2 linked regions of the Saccharomyces cerevisiae S288C genome follow. Each later gene encodes a partner of the first gene's protein in a complex. Each region holds a gene or a part of one and is shown in the gene's direction. Other genes may lie near its edges. The genes, in order: BMH1 and NTH1.

The links.
Region 2: the proteins of BMH1 (region 1) and NTH1 are in contact, whole or in part, in a crystal structure (PDB 5N6N), measured with the Saccharomyces cerevisiae proteins. Residues at the interface, in NP_011104.3 of Saccharomyces cerevisiae: Gln17 (codon at 2,187), Glu19 (codon at 2,193), Asn44 (codon at 2,268), Val48 (codon at 2,280), Lys51 (codon at 2,289), Arg58 (codon at 2,310), Arg62 (codon at 2,322), Ile63 (codon at 2,325), Ser66 (codon at 2,334), Ile67 (codon at 2,337), Lys70 (codon at 2,346), Lys125 (codon at 2,511), Arg132 (codon at 2,532), Tyr133 (codon at 2,535), Gly174 (codon at 2,658), Leu177 (codon at 2,667), Asn178 (codon at 2,670), Val181 (codon at 2,679), Phe201 (codon at 2,739), Ile205 (codon at 2,751), Ala206 (codon at 2,754), Leu208 (codon at 2,760), Asp209 (codon at 2,763), Leu211 (codon at 2,769), Ser212 (codon at 2,772), Glu213 (codon at 2,775), Glu214 (codon at 2,778), Tyr216 (codon at 2,784), Lys217 (codon at 2,787), Asp218 (codon at 2,790); in NP_010284.1 of Saccharomyces cerevisiae: Phe73 (codon at 2,160), Gly74 (codon at 2,163), Lys75 (codon at 2,166), Leu76 (codon at 2,169), Thr79 (codon at 2,178), Arg80 (codon at 2,181), Arg81 (codon at 2,184), Gly82 (codon at 2,187), Ser83 (codon at 2,190), Glu84 (codon at 2,193), Asp85 (codon at 2,196), Thr87 (codon at 2,202), Tyr88 (codon at 2,205), Ser89 (codon at 2,208), Ser90 (codon at 2,211), Ser91 (codon at 2,214), Gln92 (codon at 2,217), Thr135 (codon at 2,346), Asn137 (codon at 2,352), Ser138 (codon at 2,355), Lys142 (codon at 2,367), Arg147 (codon at 2,382), Gly148 (codon at 2,385), Tyr150 (codon at 2,391), Met151 (codon at 2,394), Asn178 (codon at 2,475), Glu179 (codon at 2,478), Asn180 (codon at 2,481), Val666 (codon at 3,939), Asp667 (codon at 3,942).

What each region holds. Positions count from the first base shown.
Region 1 is NC_001137.3:543,473-546,914, forward strand, and holds BMH1 (14-3-3 family protein BMH1), read left to right. Parts: upstream 1-2,138; coding exon 2,139-2,942; downstream 2,943-3,442. Other genes in the region: ECM32 (RNA helicase), read left to right, coding at 1-1,583; PDA1 (pyruvate dehydrogenase (acetyl-transferring) subunit E1 alpha), read left to right, coding at 3,345-3,442. UniProt on the Saccharomyces cerevisiae protein: Involved in growth regulation.
Region 2 is NC_001136.10:449,610-454,418, reverse strand, and holds NTH1 (alpha,alpha-trehalase NTH1), read left to right. Parts: upstream 1-1,943; coding exon 1,944-4,199; downstream 4,200-4,809. Other genes in the region: RCR2 (Rcr2p), read right to left, coding at 1-297; Ran GTPase-binding protein YRB1, read right to left, coding at 769-1,374. UniProt on the Saccharomyces cerevisiae protein: Hydrolyzes intracellular trehalose to glucose. The disaccharide trehalose serves as a storage carbohydrate that is mobilized during nutrient stress. Regulates the level of trehalose as a protectant for cell integrity during heat stress.

The sequences.
Region 1 (3,442 bases):
GTTCATCTCAATTTAAGCTATTGCCAACTTCTGCGCAGACAAGTAGAATTCTATTTGCCATGACGCGTATTACAAACCCAAAATTTATTGACCTATTACTAGGCCAAAAGCCTATTAAAGAGATTTATTTTGATAACAGGCTAAAATTTTCCAGTGACAAGTTGAACCGATCTCAGAAGACTGCAGTGGAACATGTTCTAAACAACAGTATCACAATTCTACAAGGCCCACCTGGTACAGGTAAAACATCAACAATAGAGGAGATAATCATCCAAGTAATTGAAAGATTTCACGCATTCCCAATATTGTGTGTTGCCGCGTCAAATATTGCTATTGATAACATTGCCGAGAAGATTATGGAGAATAGACCGCAGATAAAGATCTTAAGAATTTTGTCAAAGAAGAAAGAACAACAGTATAGTGATGACCACCCATTGGGCGAAATTTGTCTCCACAATATTGTATACAAAAATCTTTCCCCAGACATGCAAGTCGTGGCAAACAAAACCCGCAGGGGCGAAATGATCTCCAAATCAGAGGACACGAAGTTTTATAAAGAGAAAAACCGTGTCACCAACAAGGTCGTATCTCAATCGCAAATAATTTTCACGACAAACATTGCTGCAGGTGGTCGTGAATTGAAGGTTATAAAAGAATGTCCCGTGGTAATAATGGATGAGGCTACACAATCATCAGAGGCTTCAACACTAGTCCCACTTTCGTTACCAGGTATAAGAAATTTTGTCTTCGTTGGGGACGAAAAGCAATTGTCAAGTTTCAGCAACATCCCTCAACTGGAAACCTCACTATTCGAAAGAGTCCTATCTAATGGCACGTACAAAAACCCACTAATGCTGGATACGCAGTACAGAATGCACCCAAAAATTAGCGAATTCCCCATTAAGAAAATATACAATGGTGAATTGAAGGACGGTGTCACGGACGAACAAAAGGCATGGCCTGGCGTGCAGCATCCGTTGTTTTTTTATCAGTGCGATTTGGGGCCCGAGAGCAGAGTGAGAAGCACGCAAAGAGACATAGTCGGGTTTACGTACGAAAACAAACACGAATGTGTAGAAATCGTGAAGATTATCCAAATACTAATGTTGGACAAGAAGGTTCCGCTGGAAGAAATTGGTGTCATAACGCCCTATTCTGCACAGCGTGATCTGCTGTCTGACATCTTGACCAAAAACGTAGTTATCAACCCCAAACAGATTTCTATGCAACAAGAATACGATGAAATTGAGCTATTTAACGCGGCTGGTTCTCAAGGAACCGCCGGCAGTCTACAAAACAATGTGATTAACATCATCAACGGCCTACACGTCGCGACCGTAGACTCCTTTCAAGGCCACGAAAAATCTTTCATCATATTTTCATGTGTCAGAAATAACACCGAAAACAAAATCGGCTTTTTACGTGACAAAAGAAGGTTAAACGTGGCATTGACAAGAGCCAAGCACGGACTAATTGTGGTGGGCAACAAGAATGTCTTAAGAAAAGGAGACCCCCTATGGAAAGACTACATTACCTACCTCGAGGAACAAGAGGTCATATTCACTGATCTCACAGCTTACTAGCCGGCTAGGCGGCGGCAAGAAAATCCACTGTTTATGTATTGATTGCGCAATGCAGAGATAGATAGATATAGATAGATAATGGACGTAGTTATAGAACAGAAAATCGGTAGATCGAAAACACAGGGGAAAAAGGGGGGGGGGGGGGGGAGACAGCGCAGCCACGTGACGGGCTTCCTCTTTGGAAAGTGGAGCGAAGTTTTGCGGAAGCTACTTTATTCCGGCCTGGAGTCAAAAGAGGAAGCTCGGTGGCAAATAGCTTCCTCTTTGTGGCCGGGGCGCGGGGGGACGAGGCAAAAAGCAAAGAAAAGCAAAAAAAATAAAAAAAAAAACAAAAAAACAGGGGTATGAGAAAAAGACACGCTTTTCCACGCGCAGCAAAAAGGAAAAAGGAAAAGGAAACTCTTTATTATTGGACCTTAAACCTGAAAACGAGACGAACCGTAACATAAAACCGTGTAGTTTCTGCAAAAATAACTTAGTTTTTCCTACTTTTCAAAATTGAGAGCGCAAGCAAGTGAGAAGAAAAAGCAAGTTAAAGATAAACTAAAGATAAAAATGTCAACCAGTCGTGAAGATTCTGTGTACCTAGCCAAGTTGGCTGAACAGGCCGAACGTTATGAAGAAATGGTCGAAAACATGAAGACTGTTGCCTCCTCTGGCCAAGAGTTGTCGGTCGAAGAGCGTAATTTGTTGTCTGTTGCTTATAAGAACGTTATTGGTGCTCGTCGTGCCTCTTGGAGAATTGTTTCTTCTATTGAGCAAAAGGAGGAGTCCAAGGAGAAGTCCGAACACCAGGTCGAGTTGATTTGTTCGTACCGTTCGAAGATTGAGACCGAACTAACTAAGATCTCCGACGATATTTTGTCCGTGCTAGACTCCCACTTAATTCCATCAGCCACCACTGGCGAGTCCAAGGTTTTCTACTATAAGATGAAGGGTGACTACCACCGTTATTTGGCTGAATTTTCTAGTGGCGATGCTAGAGAAAAGGCCACAAACGCCTCTTTAGAAGCATACAAGACCGCTTCTGAAATTGCCACCACAGAGTTACCCCCAACTCACCCAATCCGTCTAGGTTTGGCTCTTAACTTCTCTGTCTTCTATTATGAAATTCAAAACTCTCCAGACAAAGCCTGCCATTTGGCCAAGCAAGCTTTTGACGACGCTATTGCTGAGTTGGACACTCTGTCTGAAGAATCATACAAAGATAGCACACTTATCATGCAACTGCTAAGGGACAATTTAACCTTATGGACTTCAGACATGTCCGAGTCCGGTCAAGCTGAAGACCAACAACAACAACAACAACATCAGCAACAGCAGCCACCTGCTGCCGCCGAAGGTGAAGCACCAAAGTAAGTATTCTGATAAATCTAAAGAGAAATTACTAAAAAAAAGAAAAAAAAAAGAACGGGGGTGTAATAATTTGTAGTTCATTATTGCAATTATATATCTATATCTATATATGTATATAACATTAACATGTGCATGTACACACGTAATCGCGCGTGTACATGTCTATATGTGTTACTTGAACTATACTGTTTTGACGTGTATGTTTATTTATCTCTCTTCTGATTCCTCCACCCCTTCCTTACTCAACCGGGTAAATGTCGCATCATGACTCCCGACAATAATCCCCTCTGGTATAGCGAGAAGCAACTTTAGCTTCTTAACGGCAAGAACTTTTTTATGTTTGTCGCACCTGTATCTTCACAAAAGTTGGATACAGCAATAAGAAAGGAAACCACATTTGTGCCAATGCTTGCTGCTTCATTCAAACGCCAACCATCACAATTGGTCCGCGGGTTAGGAGCTGTTCTTCGCACTCCCACCAGGATAGGTCATGTTCGTACCAT
Region 2 (4,809 bases), on another chromosome or scaffold:
TTCAACGCAACGCTGTGTGCCATTGTAATCTCTCTCGGACTGCCTGTAGGTAGGCGGGGTTAACCAAGCGGTTCCCCTAATCGGAGCTTGACCCATAATTCTTCTTCTCCTATTCACTTTTGCAGTTGAAAACAGAAGTATAAGGAGTGCAACTATGAAAAAAATAAAAAAAATCCATCTTCCCCATCTCCATGAGGAAGAGCTAAATGGATCATCATCTGTAATCGCTTCACCATTGTTATTATTATCATCCTGTCTTTTATGTATTAGGAAGTCGATCTGCTCCCGTAAAATCATTTCAAAACTATACTCTCTGTTTAGCTAAATTTCCTTCAGCTTTCTAGCGAGCTAAGGAATGTATTCCAAATTTACTGCTCCTTTATTACGTCAAAAATTTCTATAGTATTCGATTCTCATTAGTAATTATAAAGGAGTAGCGAGAAAAACAAAAATAAAAGGGCGGAAACATAAAGATGGTAAATAAGACAGAGAATATTACCCGGAAACATACTACGAGATTATTGAGCTAATCTCCATGCACCAAAGTGGTTAGACATTTGGCTACATTGACTACTGCAACAATTACTTGAACCCTCTAATCCTTCTTACATATCTATTCATATGTGATTTCACAATGCTACATAAGCGTTTTTTATATAATTAAAGAGCAACTTTTCCTCACAGTAGATAAAAATATATATGCACGCTGTAAAGGAAAATTACATTAGGAACAAAAAAATCTAGACGCAAGTAACAAGCACATCGAAACTAAGCCTTTTTGTTGATTTCTTGAGCTTTTTCAAATTCTTCTTTAAATTTATCAGCATTTTCCTTACTGCCAAATCTGATAGCAAAAGTGAAGGCTTCTGCTTCACCTTCTGCAATATCTGCTGTACAAGCATACACCCAAGATCTATCAGAACCAACGTTAGGCTTCAAAGTGTATTCTGGAGCAATGATGTGGTTAGCACAAATCTTTAAGGTCTTGTCTCTTCTCATCAATATTCTAACCTTGTTAGTCTTTTTGTTCTTCAAGAACTTACAGTCACCAGTACCTCTTTCTTTCCATTCCTTGGCATCGGCATCGAATCTGAAAAGCTTGGCTCTGACCTTGTAAAGAACTTCTTCGTCTTCTTCCATTGTCTTAACATCTACCTTTTCCAGGTGAACCACTGGTTCAAAATGGATATCTGGTGATTCTGGAGCATCATCACCTTCCTTCTTGGTTTCCTCCTTGGTATCTTCTTCGTCTTTCTTGGTTTCTGGCTTTTCGGCCTTCTTACCACCAAACATGGAGAAGACAGCAGAGGATGGTGGCTTTGGAGCAGCCTCTTCCTTCTTGTCGACGACAGGTTTCTTATCTTCGCTAGACATTCTTTTTCTATAGTTGTGTTTATCTTCTTGCTTTTATTTCAAATTAAACAAGATCTTTCTTCTTTCTCCAATTGAATATCAATTTCATCATCAGATTTTAGTTTCTGTTTTATTTTTTATTTTTTTATTTTTTTTTTGTTTCTTGTTTTCCGCGTACTTCCCGCTGGGCGAAAAAAGAAATGAAAAAAAGAAACGACAGGAGCATCGTGTAGGACGAAGCCCCTTATCCCCTAGTTACCGAAGAAGGCCACCAATCTTAAGTTTGATAGAGCAGTACTTATATAAGGCTATATATAGACTGGTTCACAAGGTTATCAATATGAAACTTGCGCGATCACCGATTTACGGGATTTTTCAGGAGCGAGGTACAAGATTTGTTGGCCTGAAAAGATCGCAAAACATTAGCTAGAAATTTTCCCCCTATCGTTTTCCGTAGAGTAAATATAATATCAAGAAGATAGTTTTATATTGACTGATTTCACAACCAACTGCATAGATATAAGGAGATTACTAGATACAAGAACGCCTGATAAACAAAAAAAGAAAAATTAACAAAAAAAATCAGTAGAATGAGTCAAGTTAATACAAGCCAAGGACCGGTAGCCCAAGGCCGTCAAAGAAGATTATCATCACTAAGTGAATTCAATGATCCATTTTCGAACGCAGAAGTCTACTATGGCCCCCCAACAGACCCAAGAAAGCAGAAGCAGGCAAAGCCCGCTAAGATCAACCGTACGAGGACTATGAGTGTTTTCGATAATGTATCTCCTTTCAAGAAAACTGGTTTTGGTAAACTTCAACAGACTAGACGTGGTTCTGAGGATGACACCTATTCAAGTAGTCAAGGTAATCGTCGTTTCTTTATCGAAGATGTCGATAAAACACTTAATGAACTACTGGCTGCTGAGGATACCGATAAAAATTATCAGATCACCATCGAGGATACCGGTCCAAAAGTTTTGAAAGTCGGTACCGCAAACTCCTATGGCTATAAGCATATTAATATTAGGGGTACGTATATGTTATCCAATTTGTTGCAGGAACTAACTATTGCGAAAAGTTTTGGTAGACACCAAATTTTCTTAGATGAAGCTCGTATAAACGAAAATCCCGTCAACAGATTATCAAGATTGATAAACACACAGTTCTGGAACTCTTTGACCAGGAGAGTTGATCTGAACAACGTAGGCGAAATTGCAAAAGATACCAAGATTGATACGCCGGGGGCAAAAAATCCAAGAATCTATGTTCCTTATGATTGTCCAGAACAATACGAATTTTATGTTCAAGCTTCTCAAATGCATCCATCTTTGAAATTAGAAGTTGAATATTTACCAAAAAAAATAACGGCAGAATACGTCAAATCCGTCAATGATACCCCCGGTTTACTAGCATTGGCTATGGAAGAGCACTTCAATCCTTCTACTGGTGAAAAAACTCTCATTGGTTACCCTTATGCTGTTCCTGGTGGTAGATTCAATGAATTATATGGTTGGGACTCCTATATGATGGCACTAGGTCTCCTAGAAGCCAACAAGACTGATGTTGCAAGAGGTATGGTGGAGCATTTTATTTTTGAGATTAATCACTATGGAAAAATATTGAATGCTAACAGAAGCTACTATCTATGTAGATCACAGCCCCCATTCTTGACTGAAATGGCCTTGGTAGTATTCAAAAAACTTGGTGGTAGGAGTAATCCCGATGCTGTGGATTTGTTGAAAAGAGCTTTCCAAGCAAGCATAAAAGAGTACAAAACTGTTTGGACCGCATCTCCAAGGCTTGATCCCGAAACAGGCTTATCCAGGTACCATCCTAACGGTCTCGGTATTCCTCCGGAAACTGAAAGTGATCACTTCGATACCGTTTTACTACCATATGCATCGAAACACGGCGTTACCTTAGACGAATTTAAGCAACTTTATAACGATGGTAAGATAAAGGAGCCTAAATTGGATGAGTTTTTTCTTCATGACCGTGGCGTTAGAGAATCTGGACACGACACTACATATAGGTTTGAGGGCGTATGTGCCTACCTGGCCACTATTGACCTGAATTCTCTTCTTTACAAATACGAGATTGATATTGCAGACTTCATAAAGGAATTCTGCGACGACAAATATGAAGATCCTTTAGACCATTCTATAACAACTTCAGCTATGTGGAAAGAAATGGCCAAAATCAGACAAGAAAAGATTACCAAATATATGTGGGATGACGAGTCGGGGTTTTTCTTTGACTACAACACAAAAATCAAGCACAGAACGTCATACGAATCCGCAACTACATTCTGGGCATTATGGGCTGGACTTGCCACGAAGGAGCAAGCACAGAAAATGGTGGAGAAAGCACTACCCAAGTTAGAGATGCTTGGAGGTTTAGCTGCATGTACGGAGCGTTCTCGAGGCCCAATTTCTATTTCGAGACCAATTAGACAATGGGACTATCCATTTGGTTGGGCACCCCATCAAATTCTTGCTTGGGAAGGCCTCCGTTCTTATGGTTATTTAACTGTAACGAATAGGCTAGCTTATAGATGGCTTTTCATGATGACAAAGGCTTTTGTCGATTATAATGGTATTGTGGTTGAAAAATATGATGTCACAAGAGGAACAGATCCTCATCGTGTTGAAGCAGAATACGGTAATCAAGGTGCTGACTTTAAAGGGGCAGCTACTGAAGGTTTTGGATGGGTCAATGCCAGTTACATTCTTGGTTTGAAGTATATGAACAGTCACGCAAGAAGAGCGCTTGGTGCTTGCATTCCACCAATATCATTCTTTAGCAGTTTAAGGCCTCAAGAAAGAAACCTCTATGGACTATAGTTGAGATAATATATATATATATATATATATACTCCAGGTACAGTCCTCTAGGTACCTAAATCCTCTTTATATGATCTGCCGATAGATAGTTCTAAGTCATTGAGGTTCATCAACAATTGGATTTTCTGTTTACTCGACTTCAGGTAATGAAATGAGATGATACTTGCTTATCTCATAGTTAACTGGCATAAATTTTAGTATAGGTTAACTCTAAGAGGTGATACTTATTTACTGTAAAACTGTGACGATAAAACCGGAAGGAAGAATAAGAAAACTCGAACTGATCTATAATGCCTATTTTCTGTAAAGAGTTTAAGCTATGAAAGCCTCGGCATTTTGGCCGCTCCTAGGTAGTGCTTTTTTTCCAAGGACAAAACAGTTTCTTTTTCTTGAGCAGGTTTTATGTTTCGGTAATCATAAACAATAAATAAATTATTTCATTTATGTTTAAAAATAAAAAATAAAAAAGTATTTTAAATTTTTAAAAAAGTTGATTATAAGCATGTGACCTTTTGCAAGCAATTAAATTTTGCAATTTGTGATTTAGGCAAAAGTTACTATTTCTGGCTCGTGTAATATATGTATGCTAATGTGAACTTTTACAAAGTCG